Linked DNA regions of Yarrowia lipolytica. Each later gene encodes a partner of the first gene's protein in a complex. Links are inferred from orthologs where the notes say so. Each region holds a gene or a part of one and is shown in the gene's direction. Other genes may lie near its edges. The genes, in order: YALI1_E28033g and YALI1_B27293g.

What was found.
Region 2: the proteins of YALI1_E28033g (region 1) and YALI1_B27293g are in contact, whole or in part, in a crystal structure (PDB 4BSZ), measured with the Saccharomyces cerevisiae proteins. The link is inferred for Yarrowia lipolytica from reciprocal best matches to the Saccharomyces cerevisiae genes RPS3 and YAR1. Residues at the interface, in NP_014221.3 of Saccharomyces cerevisiae: Asp14, Gly15, Val16, Phe17, Tyr18, Ala19, Glu20, Asn22, Glu23, Thr26, Arg27, Ser35, Arg76, Arg94, Gln101, Ser104, Phe107, Lys108, Asn111, Gly112, Leu113, Arg117, Tyr120, Gly121, Val123, Arg124, Tyr125, Glu128, Ser129, Ile158; in NP_015085.1 of Saccharomyces cerevisiae: Arg21, Glu46, Glu48, Ser49, Met56, Ala59, Asn60, Asn90, Thr92, Asn94, Trp99, Leu102, Asn103, Phe121, Phe126, Gly127, His128, Asp129, Ile131, Phe132, Glu133, Glu135, Asn136, Gly138, Glu140, Glu141, Glu143, Thr144, Leu147, Lys148.

The regions. Positions count from the first base shown.
Region 1 is NC_090774.1:2,799,017-2,807,856, reverse strand, and holds YALI1_E28033g (40S ribosomal protein uS3), read left to right. Parts: upstream 1-4,566; coding exon 4,567-5,307; downstream 5,308-8,840. Other genes in the region: YALI1_E28097g (uncharacterized protein), read left to right, coding at 1-511; YALI1_E28070g (uncharacterized protein), read right to left, coding at 522-719, 792-794; YALI1_E28052g (uncharacterized protein), read right to left, coding at 2,113-2,276, 2,554-2,605; YALI1_E28046g (uncharacterized protein), read right to left, coding at 2,653-3,225; YALI1_E27997g (uncharacterized protein), read left to right, coding at 8,091-8,840. UniProt on the Saccharomyces cerevisiae protein: Component of the ribosome, a large ribonucleoprotein complex responsible for the synthesis of proteins in the cell.
Region 2 is NC_090771.1:2,723,720-2,732,549, forward strand, and holds YALI1_B27293g (uncharacterized protein), read left to right. Parts: upstream 1-5,644; coding exon 5,645-6,229; downstream 6,230-8,830. Other genes in the region: YALI1_B27254g (uncharacterized protein), read left to right, coding at 1,726-3,126; YALI1_B27280g (uncharacterized protein), read left to right, coding at 4,265-4,433, 4,482-5,206; YALI1_B27307g (uncharacterized protein), read right to left, coding at 6,649-7,051, 7,278-7,384; YALI1_B27320g (uncharacterized protein), read left to right, coding at 8,351-8,830. UniProt on the Saccharomyces cerevisiae protein: Required for normal rate of cell proliferation.

The DNA.
Region 1 (8,840 bases):
TGCTACATTGGACGCATTGATTCTGCCAGACGTGGAAAACGTGACCTGGTGGTTCCAGCTGTTCGGAATTGAGGAGACAGATGTGGTTATTGAGGCTAGCGAGACGGCCGCCACCCCCGTGCTAACTGCCAAAGCTGCCACGGAAGGTGTGCCTGCGATGGAAACGCACGCGACAGAGGGTGAGGCTGTGGTTACGAAAGCGAAGGCTGAAGTGCCAGCTCCCGCAGTAGATGCTGTGGGGAGAACCGTGGGGGGTAAATCTGCGGCTGAGGGTTCAGTGAGTCACGTGGAGAGTCATGCAGCTGGCGAGGGAAGCTCCGAGGGAAGTGGTGCGGCTGGTTCGGATGCGAGTCCCACCACAACCACGGGGTCTTCTCCGTCCGAGGAGGAGCCTGTGGAGCAGGGAAATCCGCTGGGAGACGTGACGCCGCGTACCAAGATTCTGGAGAAGAAGCGGGTCCATATCCAACCGCTGTCTAACACGTCGGTGGAGTACGCCTCGTTTGAGTAGTCTATGGTTTTTACGGTAGACATTGATTGCCATGATGTAATGATGTAACGATAACGATTATGATGTATGATCGGGGTGGGTGGATGTTAGTTTGGTGGGGTTGATATTGATACGAGATAGGCGTGTGATAGCTACTTGTACTTGAGATAGAACAAGTTGGGTGATTGGTCGATATGAGTTGATCAGGCTGTTGATAGGTTATCGGCATCTTGCGATGGGGTTGGCGATCGGCATCTCACGATAGAGTCTCTTATCCGCTATCGGTGCTAAAAGTGCATACCATGACTGAGTTGGAGACGGTCTGATAATGCACAAATAGCCGTGGGTAGCCGGTGTGGGATGTTTATGGGGTGATGGCGTGTCTCATATCGCTCGGTTGGAATGGCCTTATGATCATGAAGAGGATCGGAATGAGCAATGAGACATGGAGTGGTGGGATGGGGTTGTCAAAGGGTTCGATTCCGGCAGAAAAATCACCGTCGAAATCCGAGCTCGAGTAAGAGATAGTAGATCTGGATGAGCAGAGGAATGATAGGGTAGGAGATGATAGGGTAGGAGATGATATGGTAGGGAGATGATAGGGTAGGGAGATGATAGGGTAGGGAGAGGTGTAAGGCAGATCAGAGATACCAGGCGGATCAGAGTGATCAGACGGATCAGACAATACCAAAAGCCTGGTGTCAGATGATTATTGATACTGTTGATACTGTTGATACTGTTGATACTGTTGATATGGGTACTTGTATTACTCTACAGATGGGCTCTGAAGTGACTGATATTGAACTTCCTCTTCCAGAAAATGAAGTGGTGATCGGTTCTAGATCACGTGTTTACCAGTAACGTGTTTCCCTGGTCACGTGTCTGTTTGTCAGTGTCTCTACAGATGACGTTTAGATCATATCAGCTCAATCTCCCTATCATATCCTATCTTTCCTATCACAGCTCACGCCCTATCTTTGATCCACTTTCTGATCCTATCTCTCGCCGGCCTCCTTTCAGCCAATCAAGCCGTGTATCTAATCTCCACAAGCTGCGTGTTTTCCCCGTGTCTATCACCGGGGTCACAGTGGGCAATCTCCACCGTTAGGTTCGATGGGCGACGATCTTCCTGTGGGAGGTTGAGGGTCTAAAGCAGTGACCATTTTGGTAGATATGGAGGAAAATGCGGGGAAAAACGGGGAGGAGGGCCATTTAACAGCCGGTTTATTCATATTTTTCAAGTCCCCACCACCGCTACTGCCCACTACACGTTTCTATGGTCTATGACCACATCTGTCCTTATCGTTATCGACGCACGGCTCTGCACAGCCCTGCGATAAGAGCGGTTTTCAATTACTGTAGGTGTAATAACAAGAGAGCAGAGTGGAGGCGACATATATAAATATGTAACAGCAAGATGTATAGAATGTTACGTAGTGACAACAGCGACGGTAGCGACTGGTGATAGAGAGATGGCGGAAGGTGATAGGCTGGATAAGAGCAGGCATGGTGAGACACGATCGAGACAGTGTTGGAGAAGGCGATAACAATATCAGAAAGGAAGTGCCGGTCTGTACATCTGAGGAAGGGGAGAGTTGGTCTTGATTCGGTCCAGAAGTCACCTACTTGTAGTATTCACCAAGAGCGACATAGATGTAGTACAACACTCCAAGAGGATGATACCAGCGACAATGGGTGAAACTCTTAATCAAAAAAGTTGATTCTTCTGGTCTCCTTCTATCAAAGTGTTTCTGGAGCCACTTGGAGGCTCTTATGAGAGGCTGAGCTCAAGTCTTCCAACTTGTCTTATACCACAGTGACGGAGCACAAGTAGTTGGAACATGTTCAATTCAAGTACAATCAGTTGAAGCAGTCAGTCAGGACAAGCTGGGTTGTAGATAGCTCTCTTGTAGCAGTAGTGGTTGAAGTATCGACAACCGGGAGATGTGCTCCAACGATGAACTAGATCGCAGTATGAACACTTGCAGAACAACTACAGCCATACCAGCGTGAAAGACAATACAACGAGATCCGTACGACGGCGCTGTACTGGTACTACCTACTCTTGTATTCAACTACGGACACAGTCCTAATACACAACACGTTCACGTACATACCTCACTTTTACGCACAGAGCCCTGTACTATCCACTACCGGTAGGCCTACTTGGTCTTCTTGGACTCCTTGGACTCCTTCTTGTCCTTCTTTTCCTTCTTTTCCTCGTCGTCAAACTTCTTTTTGAGCTTGGCGTCCTCTCGCTCGGCCCACCACTGGCCCACCTGGAGCCCCAGCACGCCGAGAAGCACAAAGACAATCATGACCTGGGAGGCGGCAATGACGTTGATTCCCGTGTGTTCGTCCACGTCGCCCCAGTTGCCGTCCACGGCCGACGCCAGGCCCCGTCGGATGTTGGTCAGGTAGATGGTGACGCCAACCATGTACAGAAACAGCGAGCCGCCGTCAAACAGCTTGTTGGACTCGCTGGGCTTGTACAGCTTGATGAAGAAGCCAATCAGCCCCAGTCCGATCACCGTGTGGTGGATGTGGTACACAAACATGGGGCAGTCGTACCACGCCTTGTAGTGGTCCAGAGAGGCGGTGTATCGAGACTCCGGCGGAGCGGCCGTCCACAGAGTGAAGAAATCATAGGGCCAGTTGGAGTACAGAACGCCCAGAGAGAAGGACGTGGCGCACAGAATCAGCGCGGACGAAATGGAGGATGCAGATGTCGGCATGGTGGCGATAAATGTGTCTGGTCAGAGGTGCAAACACGTCTGTAGTGATGGTGTCAGCGTTTGTTAAACTTGACTGAACCTTATGACAGGAAGATTAGAGGGGGGGGGTAATGGGGGGGGGGGGTGAACTGGGACACCGGAATATGGGAAATGAGAATGGTGGGACAAAGGGCTATAAAAATCCAGACCTCAAATTACCTAAGCGGGTCATTTTTTCGGTCATTTTTTCGTGATTTTTTGCGATTTTTAGCCTCCATTCGGGGCCCCTTCAATATCACTCGTTTTCACAACTGTCTCAGGCCTGTCTCAGGTCCCTCCCAACTTATGGCAGGGCTGGACAACTCAACAACATTCTGGGGTTAGATCTGTGTCTGGGGGTTGGGGGAGGTTAATTTTTTTGCTAACGGCGCTTGTGGGGCTATACTTGATTACGTAACCGAGTTTTGGGCTTACTTTTGCCATCATCCCGGGGCCGTCTTGATGCGAGTTGATGCGAGTTGTCGCGAGTTGTTCCTATCTTCGGAGAGTTGCACACGGCCTCAAGGGGAGTTGCAAACGGCGTCATGTGGGTGTCATGGTGATGGTGGACGATAAAGGCAATAGAATGGTTATATTGGTGATTTGTGTCTAATTTAATCATTTCTAGCGTCCTCTAGCGTCCTCTAGCGTCCTCCAGCGTCTTCCAGCGCCCTACAAAGTCCCCCTTTCTTCCTCATTTTCAACAAAACTCCCAACTAATTCCCGTGAATTGTAATACACAGACGATGCAGTTGGCGGAGGCTATTTGGTAATGATCGAGTGAGAGAGTGCGAGTGAGAATGCGAGTACCTGTACTGGTAGCTCCGCTCCACCTGAGGGGTTTTTAATATTGTTTTTTTATGTGTTTTCGTTTTTATTTTTTTTTTTTTTTTTTTATTTTTATTTTTATTTTATTTTTATTATATTTATATTTTTGTAAGATCGCACAATTTAGACTAGGGTGACTTTCCTTACAATTTTACTTTACTTTACTTACCTTGTCTTAGATCTCGAATACCCATTTTACCATACAAACCTGACGGTTTTTATTTATTTATTTATTTTATTATTATTTTTGAGCACTTTCTGGATCAATACAGCCCAAAAACAACCAAAATTTCCCAATACAGCCAAACACAAGCTCACCATTACCGCACATCTCTAAATCGCACATTACATAAGCGTCCAAACCTCCCAATAAAGACTCAACACGTGACAGGGTTTAGCCCTAACTGGCAAAACAAGGTTCAGAATTTTCACGACTCACCTCCCAGCAGGCAAAATATCCCATTCTGCGCGAATCCATCCACACACACAACAGCAATGTCCTCCACTGTCACCATTTCCAAGAAGCGAAAGATCGTCGCCGACGGTGTTTTCTACGCCGAGCTCAACGAGTTCTTCACCCGAGAGCTCGCCGAGGAGGGATACTCCGGCGTCGAGGTCCGACTCACCCCCACCAAGACTGAGATTGTTGTCCGAGCCACCCACACCAACAAGGTCCTTGGTGAGAACGGCCGACGAATCCGAGAGCTCATGTCTCTGGTCCAGAAGCGATTCCGACTCCCCGAGGGATCCGTCACCATCTACGCTGAGCGAGTCCAGGAGCGAGGTCTGTCTGCCGTTGCCCAGTGCGAGTCCGTCAAGTACAAGCTGCTCAACGGTCTGGCCATCCGACGAGCCGCTTACGGTGTTGTCCGATACGTCATGGACGCCGGCGCCAAGGGTGTTGAGGTTGTTGTTTCCGGAAAGCTGCGAGCTGCCCGAGCCAAGTCCATGAAGTTTGCCGACGGTTTCATGATCCACTCCGGTCAGCCCGTCAACGACTTCATTGACACTGCCACCCGACACGTTCTGCTGCGACAGGGTGTGCTCGGTGTCAAGGTCAAGATCATGCGAGACCCCGCCACCTCCAAGAAGCCCGGTGTGCCCAAGTCTCTGCCCGATGCCGTCACCATCTTCGAGCCCAAGGAGGATGCTGTTGTTGCCGAGCCCATGGTCAAGTCTTACGTTGTCAAGACTGAGGTTGCTGCTCCCGCTGCTGCCGAGCCCGTTGAGGCTTAAGTCTGATTAGGCAAATAGTCAAAATAAAATTATTCGTTAATCCGCCATGATGGATTGTAGTGAGTCTGTACTATAGAAGTACAAGTACAGAATGCGAGACAGCGCGCCCACTGTCGCGATTGTCACGTCGGACCAACAGCGACGTCAGACATGTCTTAATTAGCCCGGTGCGTCCTTTGAGAACCACATGTTGAGCGGTAGAAGACAGCAGCGGTCTGGAAACGATACCTAGATGATGCCCTAGATGATGCCCTAGATGATGCCCTAGATGATACCGTCAAGCTGTGGAAACGACAAAGTCGGTTATAATGAGGTCTTTCCAGTGACCAATGACAAATTTCTGACCCGCTGATTCGTTCACTGTTGCTGTACGCAGGGTGGGCTGTTGTATGTATGTCATACTGTAGGCACTGTGCGATGTTTCAGATTTAGTTGACATTTAGTTGACAAGGAAAGTCCGCTGGGGGTCCATTTCTCGGGCTCCAGACATTCCACAGCGTTTTATAGTATGTCATTCAACGGAGAAGATGTCGTTCAATAACAAATATGTACTGATCTTCTACTCGCATAATACTATTATCCAGGAGCCATCGACATTTCAATATATTTTTCCAAGTGTTGTTTGTTGGATATTACTTAAGAGCCCGAACTGGGAAAATAATAGATGATAAATCCAACTGTAGACACACCAGGACAATTGACGGTGCAATTTGCTGCTGTAATCAACTCGTTTGGCACGTCTGAAGCCTGTCAACTTGCGATATATGGCACTTCACGAGGCCATCTCAGCCGTCCTACAATACAACTTGACGACCCACAGATCCGCTGTTTGAAGTACTCTTCTGATTCCTGCAATACCCAGATCCACTAAACTGACCATAAGGGATTCCAATAGTCTCTCAGATTTCCGATATTTCCATTTTGGCCGACTTTACATTGTTCTCATGCCCACAGATCTGTATAGTCTGCCGGATGATTCAGAATGGACAGGGGCGTATCCTTTCTGGGACAAGTGCAATCGTTCACTTGACGAGATTCAGAGATTCAGAGATTCAGAGATTCAGAGACTCCAACCACTCCAATCGCCCCAATTGAAAGCTCATCCCGAGGGTCTGAAAGCAGAATGTCGTAGTAAAAGAGTACAGTTGAAGAGTACAGTATGTAGAAGAGACAGTAGAAGAGACAGTAGAAGAGTACAATAGGAAGTACAACGCGGGTCCTGATCGTGACTACAGTCAGACCGGATCTCAATAGGTACTGTAGTTGGATAGGGAACGGCTGGAGTAGTTGGACTATGTTTGCAACGGAGACTGTCTGAATGGAGTGTTGGTTAGATAGAGTGGGAGGTGGAATGATATGACATCTACAGTATGTAGTAGCTACAGTACACGGTATCTGCCGTCTAGGATATCCTCTAGGCTTCGAATCTCACACAGCATCTAATCTAGTCCACGTTTACTCGACTGCGACAACAGGAATTGACAGAATCAGAATGACACTAGAGAGTAATATTGAAAGGATGAATAGATGGATGGTACTTTCTTACAGAGACTTTATGCTGAACCGCTCTTCCGATCTCGGTCAGCTTCATAAAAGAGATGAGAAACACAACAAGTGAAGCCAGGCTGTCCCAGTCAGTCATGGATCTCATGAACCTCACTCCTTACTGCTCTGAACCATCACCAATGCGCCAATCACCCCAGCTGACCACTTGGGGATCGTCATTACCATGTGGGCACTCCTGGAGGATCTACCACATACACCACCACCACGGACGTTAGCTCTAGCGAGCCTGTGAATCCCACAACCTCTGTACCCAGATGGAGCTCTCCCTATGACTACGCCCGGAACTACTCCCCTGACCACCACCGATTCAACGGAAACCCTTCCAAGACCACAGTTACCACAGATTACTGTCCTCCTACTGTGACTGTGAGGAAGAGTACACCACCATCTCCGTCATTCTCGCTACCCATGTACCTCCAACCCTTTGTTCGTCCACACTGTCACCATCTCTTCCAAGACCTCACTCTAATCGGCCCCGGAGACACCCTTCAGCCTCAGAAGTCGACTCCTATGCCCGACCCTGAGCTGCCTACACCACCCCTGACGTTCCTGAGCCCAACCCACTCTCCCGAGATTGACCTGAGGCCATAGACTCCAGATTACTGCGATAGGTCCATTGTGGCAACAGCAACGACATTGTCACTTCCACTTCTTGATTCGCTCTTGAACTGCTCCAACTGGCTCTTTCTGTCCATGTTTATTTATTTATTTTATATTTCATTATTTATTATTTATTAAATATTTATTTAAATCTTATTTAATTTATTTAACTACACTCAAATGTCCCACAGCGCCAGTGGTGATGTCCTGCCACCTAAATAGCATCTCACACAAACATAGCTTCTTACCCACAGAGTGTCACAGTGCACTCCACAAGCACCCATCTTCTTCGCTACAAGTGTCAGTTGCTTCACAGATACCAAAGCTGAACTGCCAGATTCGACGAACGATACCCGATCCAGACACGATCCAGATACGACCCAGACACGATATCAGATCTCATCATTGTCTTGACACAGACTCAGAGACACCTACGAGACGACACAGACACGAAGACGACAGATAGATACCACAGGTGGAGACCATAGGTGGAGAGCAAGGCAGATATCTCGACGACACAAACGGATACCTTTAGTAAATATCTCACTAATCGATACTACCAGACCTTATCTCCACATACCAACTACCGGCGACACCCAACTGCTCTGGCGGTTGACATGATCGGGTTCTGTGACCCTGCCCCAGAAGACTCGTACTCCACCGAGTCGTCGTCATCGTCCACCAGTTCCGAAACCTTTGCTGACTTTGTGCAGCACCTTCTCATCCCTCCGGATATCCGTCGAGACGACTCCAACCTATTCTCCAATCTCGAGTTTACAGAAGAAGAGCTCCACCGCATTCTCATGCTCAACATTGAGCGCGTGGAGAGCCAAGCTCTGGAGGCAACTCCGTATGCAACCAAGGGCATCCCCTGGAGCACATTCAAGCCCCGGCAGGAGAAAAACATGACCTTTGCTTCCAAGGTCGGCCGGTGGCTCAAGTCGCTGCCCATGCATCCTCGCATCCTCATGAGTCCTCAGGTCTACTTCCCCCAGAAGGTGAAGCGCAATCACTTCCAGCAGGAGCTGCACGAACAGCTGTTCGAGGTGTGTTCGGTCGAGGACTCGGATGACGATGGCAGCAGCCAATGCGACGACATCAAGGATATGGGCTACGAGCAGGAAAACCCAAAGTACGGCTACTGGAACGACATCAACATGAGTCCGTTCCCTGTATCCTGGATCCCCCCTTCAGCTCTGTCTTCTCCACACGTCCAGCTGTGCATCGACCAAATGGAGCCCATGGAAAATATTGGCATGTGCAAGATCATGCTATCGACTTCCGAGTTGCTCATGCTGCGCAATGAGTCTGCGCCTGGTGCATGTGTGGGGTCTTCCTACCCTCTGTATCCTCATGCTACAGATTTT
Region 2 (8,830 bases), on another chromosome or scaffold:
AGTCCACATATGACGGATTGTGCAATTCTCGTACTTGTACTGTAGATTCAAAAGAGCACTTCCTTTAAACACCACTCTACCAGCCTCATTTCCCCACCTCTAACACCACTGTCGTTATAACACAACACGTACTGTACTGTAAGAAACCTACGGCTGTGAGACAAGTGCACATCTGGGAGCGCTCAGCCCCACAAAATGCCCTAACCTTCAGTGACCTCATACGGCTGATAAGCTGCGGTCTTCCGGGTAACAGACACACGGTCTGTATTACGCACAGTCTATACTGACCGCCTTGTCTTGGAGTGGAGGCACGTGGAACAGACCTCTTTTCATGCACCCAGTCCAAACTTTGTCTTGGAACGAAATTGCAGATGATAGGACGAGAGTGTATGGTGGGGCTGTGGTTGTATCACTACTGTCTTGCGGCATATACAGCCTCCGTTGCTGCCAGTTCTGATATTATTCTTCTTAGCAGCTCTCAACTTCTCCCGTTTACGGTTAACCTCAATTCTCTCAGCATGCAGTGTCATTTATTGGGTTTGGAGGTTTTGAGATACCATTATCGCAGTTGTGGATTGGGCATAAGTATATTAAAAAGCTGTACGTACATATATAAGTATTGCTGCTGATGTTGTTTGGTGACAATGTACGCGCGAGTACCGGTAGCAACCAGACAATAGTTGCGTCTGGTGGTATTGTTTTGTCTTGTGTTTCAGAGGTATACAACGCTTCTTCATATCACTCAGCAACCAGCTCCATATAAATGCCGCCCAGTCCCCATGGAACCCACATAAAACCCGCCGATCACTTTTTAGACTAATTACCTAGCTACACTACTCTGAGCCTGTCTATGTTGTATTTGGACCGAATACTTCCCAACTGGTAGCCTCGTTTGCGATGCGAGCCCTTTATGGCTCTCCCTGGCTCGGGTTCCTTGTACTCGTACCTGTGGCTCGTAACATCTCTCGATCATTGTCCTAACCCTGTGTCCCAACCTGGCAACCTACAAATAGCTGTATGGGAGCCATACAAACACTCACGGCTTTTTCTGTGTGCACTGTAAGCTCGCTGTAAGCTCGAAGCTGGACTTGCTATGCAAGGGGCAGTGTTCGATCGAATCAGTGAAGAAAGATAAGGGATTCCTGTAAGTAATAGGTTAAGTACCAATGGCTCAAATAGTTGGAAATTAGTTGGGGTTCTGATAAAGACAACATCTCGAAAAGTATACCAATCTGTAAAGATAGTGACAGACAGTACACTTAGACGAATCACCTCTCGTTATTGTCTTATTTTAGCCCTCAAAATCGACCCTACCTCCCTCCCCAGCATCACCGACATCAAGCCGGTGTCTGACTAAGACAATTACACTTTTGGTGGGAGACGCACTCGATTTCTCAGAACGCATCACTTGACATCACTTTTAGAACCCAAAGGAAAACATGAACCGTCATTTTCACCGTTGAAATTTCGGGGTTAAAGAAGTGTACAGAAAATCCATACGGAGGGCTAAACGACCAACGTAAAGATGAATAGAATGGCGGAAATGGAAATCCTCAAAATAAAAATGTGGGAATACTCGCCACCCAAGCTGCCTTATAACACCCAAGTCCACTGGCTCTCGTCAGTGGCAAATGTCACTCCACATTACCGCCTTGTAGAAGTCTGTAGGCCCCGAAACAAAGTATATTAGATTTTCCACTGCACATTGACTCTTCATCATCCACAATGCACAGTCTACTGCGAGCAGCCCAGATTGCACGGGTGGCACGTCCCGGTGTCAAGCGGGCCATGACCCCCGCCGTGCGATTCTACTCGGACAAAAAAACCGAGAAATCCGACCAACCGTTCCAGAGCTCTTTGCTGAACGACGATTTGCTGGCCCAGGCCGGTATGGACGTTGATGAGTCCAAGGGCAAGAGCAAGCCTGCTGCTGAGGGCAAGTCCGAGGGTGCTGCCGAGGGAGCTACTGAGGACGATGTCACAGACGAGCAGCGAGCCCGATGGGCCGGAACTGCCAAGAAGTCCACCGACCAGACCTCCAAGCAGGAGTCTCGAGAGCGAATTGCCGGCTACGGATACTACGCCTTCTTTGCTGGATCAGCAGCTTTCGCCGCCTACCTGGCCCGAGACTGGGACAATGAGGAGGACAAGAAGAAGCATGATACCATTGGCCAGGGATACACCCCCATGCTCATGTGGGCCCGTCTCAAGGCTCGAATCGGAGACACCTTTTCCTTCTACCGAGACCCCGTGGCTCCCGTTCTTCTCCCCGATCCCCCTGCTCCCCCGTACCAGCGACCTTTGACGCTTGTTATTGCCCTCGACGATCTGCTTGTCCACCAGGAGTGGAGCAGAGAGCATGGCTGGCGAGTGGCAAAGCGACCTGGCGTTGACTACTTCCTGGGCTACCTCGGCCAGTACTATGAGATTGTTCTTTTCTCTTCTCAGTACATGGCCAACTGCGAGAAGCTCATCATGAAGCTTGATCCCTACCACGCCTGGTTCTCCCACGTTCTGACCCGAGAGCACACCACTTACGAGGACGGTAAGCTGGTCAAGGACCTGTCTCTGATGAACCGAGATATGGGCAAGATCATCATCATCGACCCCGATACCGGATGCACCATGAAGCAGCCCGAGAACTCCATCCCCATCGAGCCCTGGAAGGGAACTCCCGGCGACAAGGAGCTGGTCAAGTTGATCCCCTTCCTGGAATGGCTGGTGTCTCAGAACGTGAACGACGTTCGACCCATTCTTAAGGCCTTTGATGGCACCTATCTGCCTGACGAGTTCACCCGACGAGAGGCCATTGCCCGAGAAAAGTTCGAAAAGGACTGGTACGCCAAGCACGGAAAGGACGGCCAGTGGGCCTCCAAGTTCCTGGGTGTCTCCGAGCCCAAGCAGCAGAAGCCTCTGATGCCCCACGACGTGATGCGACGAGAGGGCCAGAAGCAGTACCAGAAGTTCCTGGAGTACCTGGCCGTTGAGGGCCCCAAGCTCAAGGCCGAGGAGGAGCGAATGATTGCTGAGCAGAAGGCTATGGGACCTAAGAACCTGTCGGAGGCTGTCTCCAGCATTGGTTCTCTACCTCCTGTGCCCCAGCAGCCCACTGAGCCCAAAGCTTAGATGTATATAGTATGAGTTAACGTGGCACGATGAGTGATAGAGCCATGAGCGAGCCATGTGTGAGCCATGTGTGAAGCGAATGGTGAAGCGAATGACAACGCGATTGGATAAATGTAGCTGCTGTAGCCGTAGTCCGGGCCTATTCAATCGCTGGCTGAGAACTGTTAGTCACTGCCCCTTCTTCGCTACAAACTGTCTGATGTATGTCTGTTGCACAAGCGCATATATATATCCCGTGTCTGGTGAAGGGAAAGGACGACGGCTGGGGGAAACACAAATATATATCAAACGCGATGTGCACTTTTCATATCAACGACTTGCTGTTATCTTGAGATGAGCCAGATTGACTCTGATCTGTTACCCTGATAACGACGCACCCAGTTTATTTATATCTTCAGTATGCATTGATACGAGCTGCCTCGGTATGAGCCCTGGTATCTCTTTCATCAGACTATAAGTACACACCAAGTTTTTTCCGAAGTTGATGAACATACAAGTATTAGTATGAGTACATTATTCTGGAAGAGTGGCGACGAAACTGTAGTCTCGTTCTTCTGACTTTTCTCGCTTACAGTCCTGAGCCGGCTGAACAGGGCTGAGTTTAGATCCTCCTCATGTCTTAAACTCGTACGTCACATGGTGAGTTATATATAATGGACGATGATGGGCGATGTGAATGAGTAGAACAAAAGTAGTGAGAGGTGTTTAAACAGAACGTGCAAAGCTTCCAGCTGTTCCCTCTCACTTGTCATGCTCTTCTCAAGCAACCCTGTCTTAGCTATTCCCGCATCACTCATCTTAAATGTGTCCGGAGATAAGTAAGCTTCAGCTGCCTGTACAGTTTGCGAGTCCCAAACTATCCAGGCGATAATAATAGTTCTCCATGAGTACATTACCGCGGGTATCTGAGGTTGCTTTTGGGGTGTCATTCTGTAACAGTCTCATCTTTTTATATTGCTCAATGCAAAAATCGCATTTCCAGGTCTCTGTGGGGCCCACCACTTGTCGAAACAGGTGTTGTTATGATGTCGGATTTTCATTTACCCTACTCACGTGACGCCCAAGACATGTAGTACAGAGACTTTAATCAGACTGAACCATCAACAGCTCTGCGAACTTGCCTTCTTACGACCCCACAATGGCCCAGTTCCCGCTGTTTCAGAAATTCCAAAAGGCGATACAGCACCCGCCGGCCCTGTCGCTTGGGCTGCCCATTTTTCTGACCGTCATTTTCCTGTTGTCCCAGCGATATGTGTGGATTGAGGACGACCTGGAGCTGCGAAGCACCGCCCTGACCAATTTCGAACGTGAGTACACCGCAACAACACACCACTATTTTCCCCCTCGCTAACTAGTCAACCGAATCTCATTCTACCCCCTGGTCCATGCCACCTGGTTCCATCTGCTGCTCAATCTTGTGGCGCTACAGCCCATTGTGTCGCAGTTTGAGCGAGTCAATGGAACTGTGCGAACCGGAATCGTGCTCAACATTCTCGCTGTTGTCACTGCCATTCCCTGGTGTCTGTTGTCTATCGGCTTCTTCCCCGATGAGGCTGTCCTGGGCTCCTCCGCCTGGATCTTCTCCTTCATGGGATACTGGGCCATCCGGGAGTCCTCCAAGCAGCCTACCACCCAGCTGGCCCCCAACCTCGTGGTGCCCACTTGGCTTCTACCCATCATCTACCTGGTTGTCATTGCCATTGTCATCCCCAGCTCTTCCTTCATTGGCCATCTGCTGGGACTGATTGCTGGCTGGATGATGGCTCTGGGCTACCTGGACGTACTCATTGAGCCTTCGTCCAAGGTGGTGCTCTGGATCGAGAACAAGATCTCCAGAGTCATTGACCTGATCCCCTCGTCCATCGTCACTTTCTACCGAGAAGAGGGCGCTTTGGACACTCGAGCTGCCGCTCGAGCAGACACCAACCGGTCCCTGTCCGTGTCTGGCGGCAACTTCCTGGGCTTCCAGGCCAACTCCAGCCAGGCCGATCTCGAGGCCGGTACCCGGTCTCGAGGCAACAGCAGCGTTGACCCCACCACTTCTTTCCCTGGAACGGGCCAGACTCTTGGTACCCAGTAAAGGACGATACCAAAATGAACGTAGAACATGTAAACATGTAATGAGCCATGACCTTTTAAGTGAGTTACAGGTGTAGGGTGTTTGTGCGACTGGTGTAATACATGTACACAAGAAATATAGTGCCCTGTATCGTAGATTGACTACTGAAGATCCCAGGGTGGATGGATGATGTACATACCAGCTACACTTTGTAGTATCGATATGAAGCTGGGAACGCACAGTGGGACTATCACGATGACAAAAACTTGAAACCATGCAATTAATTATGTGTACTCAATCGTTCGTCTTCACAATCTACCTCTGTATCGTTCTCTCTCTCTATGATCGTTGCCCCCTTCATCTCAGAATCAAAGTTCGGGATATGCATGTCAGAAATTTTTCTGTTATCTCGCAACTACACCTGCACATTCCCCAGAGGACATTATTGGACCAGCTAACATGTTGACAGAAGACCAGATTGACGACGTCATGTTCGACGCCCGAGGAGGCGAGCTCGAAAGCATTGAAAAGTTCTTCTCCGCTCAGGACAAGCCCCTTGAGACCCTCAAAGAGGTCAAGGACCAGTACACAGAATCCACCCCTCTGCACTATGCCGCTGCCAACGGTCACATTGACGTTGTCAAGTATCTGCTTGGTTTGGTTGCAGAGGATGCCGAAGCCCAGGCCGCTCTCATTTCCGCCCAGAACGACTCGGGCAACACAGCTCTGCATTGGGCAGCATTAAACGGAAACCTGGACATTGTCAAGCTGCTGTGTGAGGCCAAGGCCGATCCCTTCGTCAAGAACCAGAGTGGACAAGATGTGCTTTACGCCGCCGAGAACTTTGACAAGGAGGATGTCATTGACTACCTGCTGGAGAACTATGATTATGCACCCAAGGAGGATGAGAACATCAAGATTCGATATGAGGATGAGGCTGACGAGGCTAACGAGACTGACGAGGCTGACGAGGCAAAGGAGGAGACCGCTGAGGATAAGGAGACTGAGGAGGTTACTGACACCCTCAAGACCACTTCTGTTTAAGCACATAAAAGGATATTTAATAGATTGTATGATTGATAGAGTTGTGTGTGTGAATGTGCTTGGTAGTTGATGTGTTGTTGACTCATGGACCTTGTGCCTAACGGCAGTAGAATGAGCACAGTATTGCACATTACTGTAAGGCTGGAGTCGGCGTATCACTTCTTTCATCGTAATCACATACTTGAGCGAGTACAAGTAGCTACTGTACTTGTAGATCATTGAAGTGAGCTCAGGCAGACATGCAAATGCTTCCAAACAATTAACCGCAACTGCACCACTTTCAGTTGACACTGCTGGTTTTCAGCTACTCTTTTATAGTAGTCACCTCTGTTTACAACACCATCAAACTCGTTAATCTATTGTACTCGATAATATCACTCCTTGACGCACTCAACCTCTAGTAACGTCCCATGCACTACCTATAATCCCAAGGCCTTTCGAACAGTTCCTCGGACAATCTTGACAAACTGTTCCTGGTCGTCTCGCCACATTTTGCTGGCGTCAATGTTGGCCCCTGACTCGTCGTTGGGCTCGGCTAGCATGCTCATCACCGACAGCAGAATCTTGTCTACCGACTGGATGGGCGACCACCGTTCCGAAGCGCTCTCATACATGTTGGGATCGTCACCAGGAGCATGCAAAATGGAAATACACACGGTTCCGTCCTTGTAAATGTTGGGGTGGTACATTTCGCAGGTGAACTTCATCACTGGAGGGGACAGGGGGTAATCCTGGGGGAATTTGAGTGTTGCGGGGAACAGGCCACCCTCGTACGGAGTATCATCTGGTCCCTGTATCAGACATTCCCAGAGTAGAAAGTTACTGTGTTAGTGGAGTTGTGGCATGATTGTGGATTGTAACCGGGTATCATAAGCACAAGGAAACAGCATGACATATTACTGGACAAATGTGTAATCAAACTGACTGGATGAAGTCGATGTTTGTTTGGCCCCGAAAATGGACCGTAACAATATTATCGTCTTTCCGGACACCGCATGAAACACACCATGTCAGCCTGAATGTGATTGTGTCTCCCCACTTCACTCACTCTTCGTCAGCAGGACCTGCACTGATTCCCTGGGGAGGATCACTAATGAACTGCTTGTACTCCTTCATGAGCCGCTTCTGGGCCACAGATGGTCGCTTGCCCGACATGGTGTATGGTATTTTTGGTTGTGTGTGCTGGTGAGACGTTGATTGATCTGGGGATGCGTGCTTAATGTTGTCGCGTGTACTTGGCGGCTTAGTCAGCTAGTATCAATGCACCCGAATATTGCCCAATTGAACAATCGATTTCACTTCGGATTAGCCTTATTTGAGTCATGTGACGTCCATAGTGTCCAGTATTCCATTTCCGATTTTTCCCCCCTGTTCTCATTTGATTTCCGGCGCACACCCAAAGCATGCTCGTAGTCATAGATCATGATAACCCTATTGCCCCTGTTCAGCCTTAGAGGAAGCGATTACTTGTGAATACTGGTACAAGCGCGATACTTGTGCTTACATGCTGGTGTTTGTCTATGGTTGACCGCTTCAATAATTTTGAGGCTTCCTTTCTATGCATGTGGCTACCCCGCTCCATAAATCTGTGCTCATCGTAATATTACAATCCTGCCATAACTGTGCCACTCGCTTAATGCCAGTGCCAACCCCTTGCTACAATACGTTGAGTTGAGGATAAGTACTTGAAAGGTGGGTTTCACACGTGACTTTTTCCTTCTTTTGCTCCTTGCAAGAACACCCACCTTTTTGCTGCATAACTCTGTTGGCTGTGATCAATGGGCAAAAAAAAAAGCATGCCTTTGATTGGTACAATTGAGTGGGGGATCGTTGTAATTTGACGTGGCCCGGCAGTTTGGGACACACATAAGCCATAGTACGCACCACAATGCCGCATTTAACCGGTCAAAAAGGGCCATATAATTACGTTGGGGCGACGAGGGGCGTTCGTGGCCCATATGCCGATTAGTGAGTTTCGCTCAAAGTTCGCATATATAGGGCTAGGGTAGGCCGTGTGGAAAAATTTTTATTAGGTATTTCAGTTTTGGGTCTTCAACTCTTGAACACATATACATTTGTGCAACAAGGTATATTTGATAAAAAACACCAATTGAAAACAAAATGGCCGACGGACTCACCGACATCGATTCTTCCCAGATCACCACCAACTACGACGAGGTTGTTACCTCTTTCGACGACCTTGGACTCAAGGACGAGCTGCTCCGAGGTATCTACGGTTACGGTTTTGAGAACCCTTCCTCCATTCAGCAGCGAGCCATCCTGCCCGTCATCAAGGGTAACGATGTCCTTGCCCAGGCCCAGTCTGGTACTGGTAAGACTGCCACCTTCTCTATCTCTGCTCTGCAGAACATTGACGAGAAGATTAAGAAGCCCCAGGCTCTGATCATTGCCCCCACTCGAGAGCTGGCCCACCAGATCCAGAAGGTTGTCCTTGCCTTTGGCGAGTACATGAAGATTGAGTGCCACGCCTGCATTGGTGGTACCTCCGTCGCCGAGGACATCCGAGTCATCCAGGAGGGTGTCCACGTCATTGTCGGAACCCCCGGTCGAATCCACGATATGATTGAGCGACGAATCCTC